Linked DNA regions of Arabidopsis thaliana. The protein of the gene in region 2 interacts with the protein of the main gene of each other region in a pairwise test. Each region holds a gene or a part of one and is shown on either strand. Other genes may lie near its edges.

What was found.
Region 1: the proteins of ADK1 (region 2) and HOG1 interact in a protein complementation assay, tested with the Arabidopsis thaliana proteins (one study listed by BioGRID).

The regions. Positions count from the first base shown.
Region 1 is NC_003075.7:8,051,149-8,058,863, reverse strand, and holds HOG1 (S-adenosyl-L-homocysteine hydrolase), read right to left. Parts: upstream 4,192-7,715; 5' UTR 3,934-4,191; coding exon 3,223-3,933; intron 2,935-3,222; coding exon 2,188-2,934; 3' UTR 2,158-2,187; coding exon of another isoform or gene 2,101-2,157; 3' UTR 1,712-2,100; downstream 1-1,711. Other genes in the region: RALFL31 (ralf-like 31), read left to right, coding at 255-596. UniProt on the Arabidopsis thaliana protein: Essential protein during embryogenesis.
Region 2 is NC_003074.8:3,008,214-3,016,410, reverse strand, and holds ADK1 (adenosine kinase 1), read right to left. Parts: upstream 4,632-8,197; 5' UTR 4,290-4,631; coding exon 4,198-4,289; intron 4,092-4,197; coding exon 4,038-4,091; exon of another isoform or gene 3,767-4,037; coding exon of another isoform or gene 3,747-3,766; coding exon 3,700-3,746; intron 3,609-3,699; coding exon 3,577-3,608; intron 3,490-3,576; coding exon 3,388-3,489; intron 3,282-3,387; coding exon 3,214-3,281; intron 3,117-3,213; coding exon 3,040-3,116; intron 2,942-3,039; coding exon 2,844-2,941; intron 2,740-2,843; coding exon 2,669-2,739; intron 2,556-2,668; coding exon 2,489-2,555; intron 2,414-2,488; coding exon 2,230-2,413; intron 1,930-2,229; coding exon 1,787-1,929; 3' UTR 1,467-1,786; downstream 1-1,466. Other genes in the region: IDH-VI (isocitrate dehydrogenase VI), read right to left, coding at 5,341-5,532, 6,020-6,092, 6,179-6,288, 6,485-6,559, 6,696-6,857, 6,946-7,266, 7,467-7,658; AT3G09800 (SNARE-like superfamily protein), read left to right, coding at 7,846-8,063. UniProt on the Arabidopsis thaliana protein: ATP dependent phosphorylation of adenosine and other related nucleoside analogs to monophosphate derivatives. Essential to sustain methyl recycling.

The DNA.
Region 1 (7,715 bases), on a different chromosome or scaffold from region 2:
CTACAATTGTATAAGACTTGCTTCTAAACGTTGATAGAATCTACTTTAATTGTTTCGCAAACCGGCCGGTTTAAATTGAGTGGCCGATCTAAATCCGAACACTTAAACCAAAACCTAAATCCGGTTTAAGTTGACTGTACATTTGTCACCTCTTCTTCTTCACCAACTAACCCCATTTCTGCTTCTTCTTCTGCTTAGAGACAGAGAAATAGAGAGAGATCGCGTCGGCACAATCTGCAATTTCCAACATCGACATGTTTAACTCTACAGCGTTGGTGATTTTCGCCATTCTTTTCCTCTTAATCTCCGCCGATGCGTTCCCGATTCCGTCTCCCAACGGAGAGATCGACGCAATGTTGATCCGAAACAGTATCATCGGAGAAGATGAAGATCTAATGCCAACTGAGATCAGCCGGAGAGTACTGATGGCGCAGAAACGGTACATCGGCTACGAAACGCTAAGGAGAGACATGGTTCCTTGTCAGAAACCAGGAGCTTCTTACTACGATTGTCGCTCTGGACAAGCTAATTCTTACAGCAGAGGCTGTGACACCATTACCAGATGCGCTAGAGACACAAACGACATCAACACATGAAGGTAAGATCCAAGAAATTGCCAAAATTGGAAGCTTTTTGGCCGAGGCAAGTAAATTATATGATTAAGCTTTTGCATTGCTGTTGTTATATATGTGTTTTTGACATAAGAATTGTTATAATATATGTAACTCTGCCACTAGTTGGTTATCAATGTTCAATTATTGAGATCTATAAATTATATTAAGTTTTTTTGGTAGATTGATTGATAAATTTGGGTGTTTGTTTGCTTGTTTTTGGGTGCTTTTGGACCAAATTAGAATCTTTTCACTTAGGATTCTGAGATTTTTGCTAATTACACGAGCAAAGGAAAAATCGTGAGAAAGCAAATTAAACTTGCAATAAGTCCTGGAAATTCTCAGCGATGTGTTTCAGATTGGCATGAAAGAAAGGGAAGCAGTATTAAAATTATCATTAATAACACCAAATCATCTATAGTTTATTTTTAGTAAGTATAGAAAATCAAGAAAGTAGTCTTAACAATGTAAATAAACCACCAAATCTATAAACTCCAAAGAAATGAACATTGGAGGTCCTCAATTCATCTCTATAACGTATGAGTTTTGGTGATAAGACGTAGAAATTTGTCGAATTCAACACCGTGGATTTCTAGATTAATTCCTCTCAAGTACTACACTCAAAGTTGTACAAGCCCAAGTTTGCATCGAGAACCAGAAGAACCTCCTCATCATTCTTGGTCGAACGTACTGGTTTCATGCGTTTCGTAGGAAACGCTAATTCGAATCTTACTCCATAAACTCTCGAGGCCGTACTCGTTCACCACTTTGAATTTTAACCTGCCCCCTACGTAGTTCCGCCACTGGTTTCGGGTAAACAGTTCATGTTTCAGTTCGGATCAGATATTATCATGTACCCGAATACCAAGCCTTAAGACCCATTTTGGTATTTATCTAGAACGGGCTTGGACTCTTGAGTATTTTCAGTCGGGTTTGGGTTCCTACTTCGAGTCCAGTTTTTATTTTCTACCCCTCTCTTTGTAGGAACGTTCACATTCTTCTTGCAAAAGTAATAAATTTTGAAATTTTCAAAGCAGATTTTATCAGTGATGACATAGAATTGAAGAAAATGAAAACGAATCTTATAGCTAAATGCTATCAAAAATTTATATTGGAAAAGCCTTTTTGAATACTTAAGAGAACTTTGAAACGTGTACGATAATAACTACAACCATAAAATCCCCCACGAATCGAACCATGTGTTGTTCGTGTCCTAACACACATTATTAAAGATGAGCATTTGAGACATTCATTCAACAAAAGTCGCTAACACTGGGATGCCGAAAACAAGTTTCCCCTTTTTTTTTGGTTTCTCATTTGTTTGAAGAGTACAACGCTAAACAGAACACACAAAATAAAATCAAGAGGGAAACTAAACCAAAAACTAATTTAAGTTTCATGAAAAATGGAGAAAACAAGCACAACCTTCAAAAGCCAATAACCCTTATTAATACTGATATTTGGTCAACTTCATCAGAAGACCAATATCTCAAACTGTTCCACTCTCCCACCACAACCCAACACAAAACCACAAGTAGATCCGAACCTGAACCGCTTTGTCGACTCTCTCTCTCTCTCAGTACCTGTAGTGAGGAGGCTTGTATGGTCCCTCAATTGGAATGCTGACGTAGTCAGATTGGTCCTTTGACAGCTTTGTAAGCCTGGCTCCAAGCTTGCCCAAGTGAAGTAATGCAACCTTCTCATCCAAATGCTTGGGAAGAACGTACACCTTCTTCTCGTACTTTCCGCTTGCTTTCTCGTTCCAGAGCTCGAGCTGGGCAATCACCTGGTTGGTGAAAGAGCAAGACATCACGAAACTTGGGTGACCAGTGGCACAACCCAAGTTCATCAGACGACCCTCAGCCAAGACAATGATTCCAGCCTTGGTCTCTGGGAACACCCACCTGTCAGTCTGTGGCTTGATGGTGATACGCTTCACACCAGGGTAAGTCTCAAGTCCAAGCATGTCAATCTCATTGTCAAAGTGACCAATGTTGCACACAATAGCGTTGTTCTTCATCTTCCTCATGTGGTCGACCATGATGATGTCTTTGTTACCGGTGGTGGTGACAAAGATATCAGCTTCTGAGACAACATCCTCAAGGGTAAGAACCTGAAGTCCTTCCATCAAAGCTTGAAGGGCACAGATGGGATCAATCTCAGTCACAATGACTCTAGCACCAGCAGTCTTCATGGCAGCAGCACAACCCTTTCCAACATCACCATATCCACAGATAACAGCAACCTTTCCAGCGATCATGACATCAGTGGCCCTCATGAGACCATCAGGGAGTGAGTGACGGCAACCATACAAGTTGTCGAACTGTAAATCAAGAACAAATGAATTTATCAGTAACAGCACATAAGTGTAAACAAAACGTTGAATATAAAATCAAAGAAAGCATGAGAAATATTGACTTTTCATGCAAATTCTGTAACCAAGGAAGGACTTTTCTCTACTAGATCGTAATACTTTCAACAACCAACAATGAAAAGCTTGCTTCTACTTAGTGATTATGTTGTTGTTAAGCCTATCGCATCAAAAACTACAGAGCTAAAGACCTAGCAGATTTATCATCACTAGTAAAGAAACAAATCTGAAGATCAATACCTTGCTCTTGGTGACAGAGTCGTTAACGTTAATGGCAGGGAACAAAAGAGTTCCATTTTGCTGCATCTGGTAAAGCCTCTTAACACCAGTGGTAGTTTCCTCAGAGACACCAACAAGTCTCTCCTTCATCTTGTGGTACTTCTTAGGATCAACTTGAAGACCTTCCTTGATAATAGACAACACGATCTGAAACTCAGGGTTATCAGTAGAAGTAGGATCAGGAACTTGACCAGTCTTCTCAAAGATCTCCTCAGCTTTAACACCCTCATGAATCAAAAGAGTAGCGTCACCACCATCATCAACAATCAGATCAGGACCACCACCTGGACCCCAATCTAGAGCACGCTCGGTACACCACCAGTACTCCTGAAGAGTCTCACCTTTCCAGGCGAAAACAGCGGCGGAGTCACGAGCGATGGCTGCGGCGGCGTGGTCTTGAGTGGAAAAGATGTTGCAGGAACACCATCTGACTTCAGCACCGAGAGCAGTTAGGGTTTCGATGAGTACGGCGGTTTGGATGGTCATGTGAAGAGATCCGGTGATTCTAGCGCCTTTGAATGGCTGAGAAGGTCCGAATTCGGTACGACAAGCCATGAGTCCAGGCATCTCAACTTCGGCGAGCTCGAGTTCGAGACGACCGAAATCGGCTTGAGACATGTCTTTGACCTTGTATTCACGGCCACTTGAGGTCTTCTCGACGAGCAACGCCATGGTTGAGCTAGATCTGAGATTTGAATCCGAAAGGAGGCAGAGAGAGAGAGAGAGAGAAGTGTGTGCGAGGAGAAGAGAAAGGGAGTGACAGAGAATATATAGATGAGGTCAAAATGAAATGAACGGTTCAGATTGTTTTGAGGGTTTGGTGGATCTGGTAGAAGTTGTAATCCCGTGGATGACGGAACACGCTGCACGAGCGGTATGACCCGTGTTGTAAGCTTGTCGTGGGTTAGATCGGACGGTGATGTGGGAGGGTGGACACGTGGCTGTGTTTTATTTGTTTCAGTGAATCGTAGATCGTAGTTATTGACTTATATTGAGAACCCTAACGGGCCGTCACAGTAGCCCAAGTGAAGAATCAGTTGATATCTTTTCGATGACTATTATCAACTGTTGTTTATTTACGGTATATTTCTGTTGAATCTTGGTTTAACAATTCAAACTACATATTTAAAATTTGTAACATTTTTTCCCAAGAAAAACAATCTAGATCAGTTTATAGTCCCGCTTGTATCGCGCTAATGGTATCACTCACTCAACGGTCATATGGATTATGCATTGTTCTCGTATCATTTTCACTCTAAAGTCACTTAAGTTGCATTATCATTCTGCCATGAATTCCCTCGTCTGAAGTCATTTAATTTATGAGATCTCGTTCGTCTGATTGGACCACGAGAAACGTCCCATGTTCTCCGCTTATTGTAACGACATATTTCTAAATTAATGCCTTAGATCTACCACGACATGTGAATGTGACTTTTCTGTTTGTTTTTTTTTTTTGGTTAACTTTGGCTAAATCCTTTTACATATTTCAGAACATTTTGTTTATAAGATCCGTCAATTTTCATATTAAAATAGACAATTCAACCCGCTATATACGGAAAATTGAAATCTAGAACTTTTTATTTATTTTTGTATATATATAGGTTCTTTTTTTAATCAAAGAAACAAATATACAACTTATTCAAACCTAAATTATCAGATTTAACACCTAAATCCCAGTATGAATCCGTATTAAAGTTGGGTTGAAAATAAAAACAATAACTTGTTTTTGAAGAAAGAGTATCAATAGGTGCAAATGCAATAGCCACCAAGCATTTACACTAGTGGCATTGTGTGTGTGTGTGTGCTGTTTGGATCTGGACCTGCGCGTGTAGGAACGTCGGTGGATCTGACTGATCTTAAAAGATCAAAACAGAATTAAACAATGTGGTATTAATTATATTAATTATACTTTAGTATATATATATTTATTGTAATTATATTATGTTGTGTGATTTACCAAAAGAATCGTAATATTTCAAAGCAGCCGACAGTGAGAATCATAGCAATTATGTGGCGATGTGCGTTTCTTTTTTCTTGTTTTGGTGGTACTATGCAGATCTAACATGTTACTATCTTTATATGTTTATGAATTTTAAATGTACTTTTCGAATTTTAAATAGATCTTGTTCTCGATAGAAACTATATACATTGTACTACTTTTGCTATTAAACGAGTAACAATCGTATATTTCAATAAATTTATAATAGTCTATCTCCACCCATAATGTTTCACATCCGGGTGATACATAGCACTGACCATTTATTATCCCAAGACTTTGAGCACTCAAAAGACTATTTGATAAATTTATTCGAGAGTTATGAAACTGGTAGTGGTAGGTTTGGAAAATAAATTACACGAAATAAAAGCTGGAGGGTACTGGATTAAGACATTCGATTCTATTCAATCGACCAGAAAAGGACAACACTCGAGTTGTGTCAATTTCAGTGTAGCTTTTGGCTACAAAGGACATAAATATTTCTGAGTTAAGTAGACCAGTAATCTTATAGCTTATAAGACAGTGACAAAAGTTTATGGTAAGAAGATTGAGTAGTATCTTTGGGCTCTCCAAATAATGGTGAGTTTGTTACAATTTACGATGAATAATCTTGGTGACTGGTGGCTTATGCTATTCTTACAAATGGCCAGCACCAAGTCAAAATATATATCTTCTCGAGGAATTCTACGAGGCGACTCAACCCGATATATCCATATGTTTTTAGTATATGCACCGAAGTTTTGATCCAAATGCCTTAAAAGGCCGAGTTTCGAAAAATGATTTTGGAACTCCGAATATCATAAAACTGTCAATGATAGCTTATTCTTTTGTTGGGCAACGAAGGAGGAAACTAATGCACTAATGAACATTATTATTACAACTTATAAGTGAGATTCGGAGTCAAAATGTCAAATTTGGAAAAATGTTGAAGAGGAAGAGGATTTAAAGACCATTTTCAGCAGTTCTATTAATGTAATCTACAAAAAATTTATATATTATTTACAAAAAAATGTAATTTTATCGAAATTGTTTCTATTGGAAATCGATCGAAAATAATAAAATATGATATAAAAATATATTACTTCTTTCAGTATATGAGAAGTATTTATTAAAATTTTTAAATGTGATAACATACCGGTAAAACTATTTTTCAAAACAGAAAAAGACAACACAATTATTTGAAAAACGTGAAAATTTGGTATTTCATTTCTTTTTGTAAGCAAACCATGACGTATAAAAGAAAGAATTCATTCTAGGTTTTAATATATTTTAGGAATAATCTCACCGGTCATCATACAAGTTTAGCAGAAGAATAATCTCACCGGTTTCATTATGTAGTATGTCACCATGTCGACACCACAATAGGAGTATATATATGATATGACTCCAAAAGAATTGTTATTTAATTAAGAAAGTATTATAAGACAATACTTTTCGTTGTATTTGCGGAGGTAGGTGGGTTTCCAATTATACAGGTCTAAAAATCGAGGTTGGTGAAGCTTACTTTACAACAAAAGTCCTCCTCTATTATTCTACCACATGGAAAAAATTCACCAAAACGTGATTTACACATACTCTCACTTTATTCTAATATTTAATATTTTTGTATTCATATTTTACGTAGATCGTTTAATTTTCTACATGTCGAATAAATAAATAAACACTATTAAATTGACTTTAACGTTCAAACTTAAAAGTTTACTTTTACCAGCCTTTTTTCTTTACTGAGTAAATATTACCTGAAAAAGACATTTTTCTAACTTCAGTATTCTGTGTGTTTACGAAGAAAATGAAGATCTTCGTCACATCACATGTTGACCTCAGATCTGCCAATACCACTAGGCACTACGTTACTATTTAATGACCACATAATCAAATCTTAAATTGAAAAGACGATTTTGACCCTCACCGACTCACATGCATACAAAACCACCTACTCTCCTCTCCAAACCCCATGATCATGCCATTCTCTAGCAAATATTAAATACTTAATATTCTTTGATCAACCGAGGGCACGATGCAATAATAATAAATAAATTTGTTAACCATAACAACTCCTCAATCGTGTAGTTAGTTAATTAGTATGTCCACGAAAAAAGGTTTCAAAGGGAGGCTACCAACTATTTCTTGTTTATAAAAATGTGTGTTTAATGGCTCTTTTCATATGCTAAATTATAAAATTTGTGACAGAGAATATCTAAGACTTTAGTGGAATAACAAACTTATTTTTTCTCATTAGAAACTGAGAGTATCGAAAAATAACAATTTGTACACATTTCATTTGGCATTTTCAACATAAGCAAAATGGGCGAAAGAGTTGGATATGTTCTCTAACTATAATGTGATGTTAATTTGGATATGGTATCGATTAAGTGATCTAGTCAGGATGCTAAGCAAAGACCACCAATTTCTTATAATGTTGGGATAATGAATAGTGAGGCAAAGTGATGCTGTAGTT
Region 2 (8,197 bases):
AAAACAACGTTTTCATTTCTTTTTCCTTTGACTTGTTCAACGGTGAGGTGCTTAGAAAAGTAGCCAACAGATCGATCAGTGTATCTAAATCACTTATGAGTTATGGTCTTATTTAGTAATAAAATCTTACTTATTTCAACAACATCATTTTCTATTGTTTAGGGAATTTTACTATGACAGAATAAATCTTCAAATTAATGGAATGCGAATAAACGATGGTGAAACGTTTTAACATACAAAATAAAACTATCTACAAAGTCTACAATAAACGACGGTGAGTGACTCAAGATGTATATGATTATGCATTTATGATAGACAACTCAACCAATGTTTGAGCTTTTGAAAAATAAATATTTTTTATAGATTATGTATAGATAATATAGTCACAGTTTTATAATTTTCAAGTATTCATTAATGTTGTTTTATATTTAATGGTACTAACTTACTATCATCTAACATCAACCATCTGTTGCAAAAAAAAAAAAACCATTGTTAAATATCAGTGATTGAAAATCTATAACAATACGAAGTTTTATTCTTAAGGTGGGTGAGTCGGCCCATGATGCCAAAATGGTTTCCACTTTCCAAAGTGGTTCAAAATATAATCTTACATAATTACATTAATGTTTATGTTAACAAGCATAGTTCTCTACTACTAATCTTATTTGTTTATGGTAATCATGAGATTTGCAATGGGGAAGTGGAAGGGATATTTCACTTGGGTCACCTAGGAGATTTCCTAAATCTTCCTAGAACCTAGAGTACATAAATTTAACGACAAAGTTTAGCATTTTCACACAAAAAATAATGAATTAAAGAAATCCTCGGTATTGGTTTCCGAATCCCGATTGATCTATATGTTTCTTAAAATCTTGTTTGGTAATTTGTACCACTTGTTGAGATACCTTAAACCTTGGTAACTTAACCTATTTATACGATTATGTTAAACTAATCCATACCACTTTGTCGTGTTGCTTACGCTTGCTGTGTTACAATTTGCGGTTTGATCCCGGTTTTGTACTTTTCGTATTGATATTATTCGCCTTCACTCAAATCTCGTAACTTCACGTACGTACCAATAGATGTTAAAACTAAAATGGATCAAATCATATTTGACTCGTGGCCTTTCCCATGCCAATTTATGCACAAATTCGTTTGATTAGTATACGTAGAAGATAAGAAAGTAGAACTGTACAAGTGAAGTAAAAGTCAAAGTTGTTGATATCGTCCAAAGTCAAAAGTCTTTTACGAGTCATACTGGTCCTACTTTACATTATCAAATACATCCAAAACGAGACATTATACTTGTCATTTCCATGATTCAATAGAAATTGTTCTATACATGTGCCGACACAAAAGATTCTGCAAATTTTCTTTGCATAGGAATGTCCAATGTTGTTTCGTTGAACCGAACCAAATAGAATTCGAACAGAGAAACTAGTTAATATAACAGTAATGTACATTATAGGGAATAATGATCATTCAATTATTTCATGAAATGAAGCAAGTTCAAACAAAAATAGAGGATAATTACATCCATGAAGATATAACAAGTTATGAACATTTTGACATTTGGAATATCATACTCGGCCTAGTATAGTAATAATATTTATTAATCATAAAAAGGTACAATAAAACCAAGCCAAAACACACACTCAATAATAGCTTAAAGCCTCAAAAGGTGATACAAGAAAACAACATAGAGTTTATTTGGGTCGTATAATAATAATCACCAAAATCTCATTCAGAGATAAAACTAAAAGGATGATTTGTGCGACTTCTAGATTTAGTTGAAGTCTGGTTTCTCAGGGTAAGTGCAACCAGACCTCTGGATCACTACGTTTGACGCGTAGCATCCTGCCCTCACACACTCTTCAATCCCCTTTCCGTGCACCAGCTGGGACAGAAACCCTCCCACAAATGCATCACCTATGAACACAGAGAACCAAGAGGGTTAAACCACCGGAATTAGTTTACTTGAGACTGATACAAAATGTATGATAATCTTCTTATTACAATATAACAAAGCAAACGGTTTGGTAAACCTGGATTTGGATAAGAGTTTTTATGCTATAATTAGATGAGTGGTTGATATCATCAAACAATAATAAGCTTTTAACTCTTAGCTATAAGTTAAGCTGTATCTAATCTAGGACGGAATGTAGCAAATTCGAGCTGCTGTGACTTAGTTAGAGTGCAGTTAGTGAGGCCTGAGTTCTTAACAAATACCTGCACCGTTGGTGTCAACAAGCTTCTCTTTGGGGAGAGGGATGACTGGGTACTTCTTCACTTTTCCATCCTCAGCGACAACCACAGGATCTGCGCCTTGTGTAATCACAGTAGTCCTCTTGTATGTTCCAGAGGCTTTGGGTAACTGGGACATCTTGATGGCTATTTGCTCAACATCATCAGTCTGTATAAAATATAACCAAACAGATTAATAAACTGTCTTTCTTCAAACAATACAGGGTGAAATTTCGACAGTTACCTCCCAGCCGTGAACCCTGGAGAAGGTTCTTGCCTCGGTCTCATTGCCAAAAATATAGTCCATGTACCTGGTCCAAGCAAGACATTAGATGCAGCGTCTTGCTTTTCAGTATATCGCCAGTGATTAGTTTAGGCAATTATAAGATGGAATAAATGGATCGAGAGATTAGGATGTGCTTACGGCAGGCACTTCTCCTGAACATCTTTGAAGAATTCACAGATGAATGGAGCAGAAAGGTTCATCGTGAACACCTGTCAAATATGTGAGCATATCAGGACTGTTCATGCCAAAGACAACACTGGTAGGAGAAACAAATCACTGTGCCTGGCTCTCATAAAGGATCATGTATTCATACCTTGTTGTTTGCAGCAGCATGTTCACGTACCAACTGAATGGATTCTGGTGATACCGTGAGGAAGAATCCAGCAATGTAATAAAACTTGGCCTTCTCAACTGCCAAGAAAGAAATATGTTTCACAAAATCTCAGATAACTCCAACATATGACAATATCCGATCTCAGAATAAAAAGGTCAGAAGATGAGTTTTGTACCCAGAGCCCAGTTCTCAGGCTTCTTCAAGTGTTCAACCTTGTAGCAATTAGCAGCAGAAAGATTGGCAATGAGCGATCTGCAAAAGGGGAAACACGCCTCAGTACAACTCAGCAGAAACACATCTTATTAAGACAAATGATAAGCAGACATAGAAAGAATTATTGTAAACTGACCTTTCTCCACCAAGAACACAGACACCGCAAGTTCCGGTAGGTGTTGCCTCATCTTCGTAATAGTGGACCTGGATACAGAACAAGCGCAGATTAACAGTCTATTTCCTGATGATTGAACATGAAGCAAAACCAACCACCAATAATTAATAATTGATAAACATAAAGCAGACTCACATAGACACCAGCTGCTGTAGCATCCTTCTTCATTGCCTCTCCGTATTTGTCCTTTCCAATGGATCCCATGTAACTGGTTGCCCCAGGAACTTGAAGCATCCACTGCAGTAATCAAAGATACCATTCATTTAGCAAAAAAAGGTACTAACTTCAAAACAAGTATGAGTAGAAACCGTAATTATCCTTTACCTGGGCCACTTTGATTGAGTTCTGGGTAGCACCTGAAAGCCAAACGAAATCAAGAAAATATCAAAAATACTGCAAATACACATGAACACCAAATGTCTATTGATAGCTCAAAAGATGAATTACCTCCAGCAATGTATTCAACATTGAACTTCTGGCTCATTTCATCGTACCTAAACATACCAATTATCATGTGAATAAACAAAGAGTATTTGAAAAATAATCACTGTCATATTAAAATCACATCAAGAATCACTTAAGGGCAATGAAAAATCACCACACTTGTGTCTGTTTCCCTTAAACATAGCACTTGTCACAATCAAATCATAATTCTTCTACGCAGATTACATATACATATCCACATCAATTACAGAACAACTTGAAGAGTAAATACTAATCAATCCTCATTATCACCATTTGAATTCAAATGCACGCTAGGATTGAGAAAAAGTGAATTCACTTACATGGGCAAATGTTTGTCCTCTGCGAGAATCGCATTGTTCAATTTGATGTCGTATCTGTCACGAATTCAAAAGAAAGCATTAGAATTCAGAGAACCCATAAAGAATATCGTAAACACAAACAATCTAGATCCGAGCGAAAACGATCCGGATCTGAGCTTACTTGTCGAGAAACTGTTGGTCGACGACGGCAGAGACGTCGAGGAGTGGGTTTCCCATTCCCAAAAGGATTCCATCGAAATCAGAGGAAGCCATGGATGATGATGTTAGAAGGATTTTCGAGGAAAGGGAAGAGGTTCAGATCTGGTAAATGGAGGAGCAAGTGTTTTGTGTGAGTGAAGTGTTTGTGTTTATAAGCTCTGAAACCAAAGTAGGTATACCAAAGATAGATTCTTCTTCTTCCTATTATTTTATATATATTATTTTTTAATGCATATTTATCTTTTTTTTTGGGCAAAATAATGTATATTTATATATTAGCTCAAAATCATGCATAAATTTGCCATTGGAATTTCTAATTCTATATTAAACCAAATTTTAGTATAGTTCATTTCATTCAACTTCATTTGTAGAGAAAAGTTAACTGAAACAAAATTTATGAGTAACGAAATAATTGATGAAATAGAGTAGTGTTGTTGTCAAATGCAGCTATATACGTCCCTATCCCACCAACCCACTTGAGAAAAGTGTCAACACATGTCCAAAAGTCTATTGGATCTTGTTGTAAGAACATAAAAATTCTAATTAAGTTGTTTCTTTAAGAGAGAGTTAAAAACAATGAGAAAACCAAATGTGACAGCATTGCAACTTACAAAATGAATAGGAAAAAGATTGAATTTGTCGGTGGCATTGAAAAGTCCTGAATCATCCACGTTGGTTTGTTTCAGCATTGAAAGTTTTCACTTTTCAGGGTTTGAGAGTTATGTATTCATTCATTCACAGAGAATAGGCAAACAATTTAGGTAAGGACAAAAGGGACGATATTATTATTGTTGAAAATTCACAGAGAATAAGACATAACGCCAAACAATTCAGGCAAAATCCACAAACTGTAAATGTGAACCTTTTGATGGATTCTTCCAATATCTGTATCCTTCTTTTGTTATGGATCTTAAAGGCAGAAGAAGTAATACAGCTCTGCAAGAACTTCAAATCTAAGGAAAACACAAGTCAATGTCTAAAGCCTATGGCGGCTTTGTTTCTCCTCATAGGAAGAGGATCAATATGTAGAAAAATTTTGGAGTGAAAATCCAAGAGGAAGATCCAATAAGTAAGTAAGGAAAGAATTATGGTTTTTCACGGGTGTTTAGAGATGATCACAGATGGCTTTTGTGAAATCTGTTGTAGTTGAGGAACCTCCGAGATCAGCAGTTCTATACTTTCCCTCGGCTATTGTGTTGATGATGGCACTGTGGATTTGCTCTGCTTGTTTGTTGAGCTTCAGGTGCCGCAACATCATCACTCCACTCAGTAGCAAAGCTGTTGGGTTCGCCAGGTTCTACACAACACCAGCAAAGAATAACAAACATGTGGATCATAAGCTAAAAATCGAATCAAGTTCTGATATTGAATAGTGGCAAGATAATATCTAAACCCACTGTATTTGAAAACATGATTTATTTATTAGACTCCTTAACCCTCAATGCTAGGTTGGCCAGTTATTAACATCATTCAAGTACTACAAGCACGATCATCCAGTAAGAACCATTCTACAATATAAACTAGACAATAATCCATTCTACAATGAAAGCTTCTGAATGTTCAACCAAGAAATGGCATAGAAGAGAGTAATGGAGAATCTTCTCTCAGGAACAGCTTCTATCATACTTAGTTTTAGGGTAAAAGTAGGCAAGTTCACTTAAATTTGTCAAAATCTGTAATGCAGTGTCTAAATCCTATTTACTCTAATAATTTAACAAGTTAACAACAACTCTATGCATCAAACGAATTTAGAACGATGATAACATCTAAGAATGATGACTAACCATTCCAGCAATATCAGGTGCAGAGCCGTGAACAGCTTCAGCAAGGGCAATACCATCCTCCCCAATATTCATACTGGAACAAAACATAATAAGAGCATAAGATGATTGCCTCATTTTCATACTAGACAATAATCTGTGAGACGAAGAAACAAATGTTACCTAGGAGTCAGTCCTAGTCCCCCAACAAGTCCAGCACACAAATCGCTGATAATATCTCCATAGAGATTTGGCATCACCAAGACATCAAAAAGTGCTGGGTTTTTCACAAGCTGTCAGAATTAAGATTATCAATCCCACATTGTTCCATAAGTAAAATTAGCGAAAAGCAGACCCAAGTATGGGTTGCTGGGAAATCTAACCTTCAAAATCAACAAGATTATCCCAAATACTAACTTAATTAACAATGAGATTGACCTTTACATAATTTGGAACAAAAGATAGGGTGGATATCATGTTATAGCTTACCATCATACAGCAATTGTCAATAACAACCTTCTCGTAATATATCTCAGGATACTTCGCAGCAACTTCATCACAACACTGCAAAGCAGGAAGCAAATAAAAACTTGTCTCAGAACAAAGGTTAAGAAAAAGAAGCCAGTGAGAGACTAGAAAAATTGCTATGTTCCCCTAATTGAGAAGTGCTAATGTATTCTGAGTTCCAAAATGAGCTGACCTGCAGGAAAAGACCATCAGTTTTCTGCATAATGTTGGCTTTGTGAATTGCAGAAACTTTCTTCCTTCCGTGAGTCTTGGCATAAAGAAAGGCATACTCGGCAACTCTCATACTCGCCTTACGGGTAATAATTTTAAGACTTTCCACTACACCCTTGACGACCTAGCAAATAAAAATGACAAATCATCAACATGGCTCTAAAAATGATACTAGATACAGATTCACTAAAATGACAGAACAATAGACTAACCTGGTGTTCAAGCCCACTGTACTCTCCTTCAGTGTTCTCACGAATGGTAATGAGATCAACATCATCATAACGGGTTTTGTAACCAGGAAGACTGTAACAAGGCCTAACATTGGCATACAAATTCAGCTCTTTCCTAAGAGTAAGGTTCAAGGAACGGTGACCCTTTCCAATTGGAGTAGCCATTGGTCCTTTCAAACCAACCTTGTTTTTAAGCACAGATTGAAGATTATCCCATGTCAAGAAACTATTGGTTCTAGGATCTACTTCAGTACCAACAAACTGTTCGTCCCAATCAATAACCACATCAGCGGCAGTAAACACCTGGATCAGCATAAAGGGAAAACATTTTCAGAACCATCAGCTATAAACTAAAAAAAACAAACTTTATGATTCAAATCTCTCCCTTGACACGTCTCAAAAAGTATTCAGACATTATGGTTCCTAAGAGTATCCAGAATCTATAACAAAATTTATATGGTAACATAAATTACACAACACCAAAGTAGATTGAAAAAAGGGACCTGCTTGACAGATTCAGCGATTTCGGGACCGATCCCATCACCGGGAAAGAGAGTAGCTTTGATCGGAGTGGAGGAGGAGAAGAAAGCCCTAGAAACGGAAATGAACGGACCGGAGCTAGAACTCGAAGTCCCGAGAATCTGGCTCGATCCGTTACCGATAAGCCGTCTCGCGAGAAATGCTGTCATGGTCATCGCTTCCAGCCTCAGAAGGACGCAGAGAGAGAAAGAGAGGAAAGAGGAGACTTTTTGCTGCGTTGGACCTGAAAAAGTTTACTTTTATACCTTCTCTAGCTCCAGCAGAGAAGCAGAGAACATTTCGATTTCCATGAAATAAAACGGCACAAAGTTAGTGTCTGAAAATAAGAAACGGCATCAGCCTATGTTCTTAAACGGCCATGGTCAAATGAACCGGATATCAATAAATTATAAAAACCGGTCAGATGAAATTAAGCATTCAGATCCCGATAAGCAGTGTGACACTGAAACAGCGAAAGGAGCTCTCTCTCACTCCGAGGCGATTTCTTCTGTCTCGACGATCTTGCGCTTTTCACATTTGAATCCTCCAATCCATTACTTCTTCTCCGATCTTTTATTCCGGTGATCCTTTGGATTATGATTATCGAGATCCATTGCTGCCTATTTGAGTCTTGAATCATTTGTTTGCGTTCTCATCTGTGCTTAGTTATGTGATTCTCCGATAAGATTTAGTTATGTGATTAATGCATGTATGT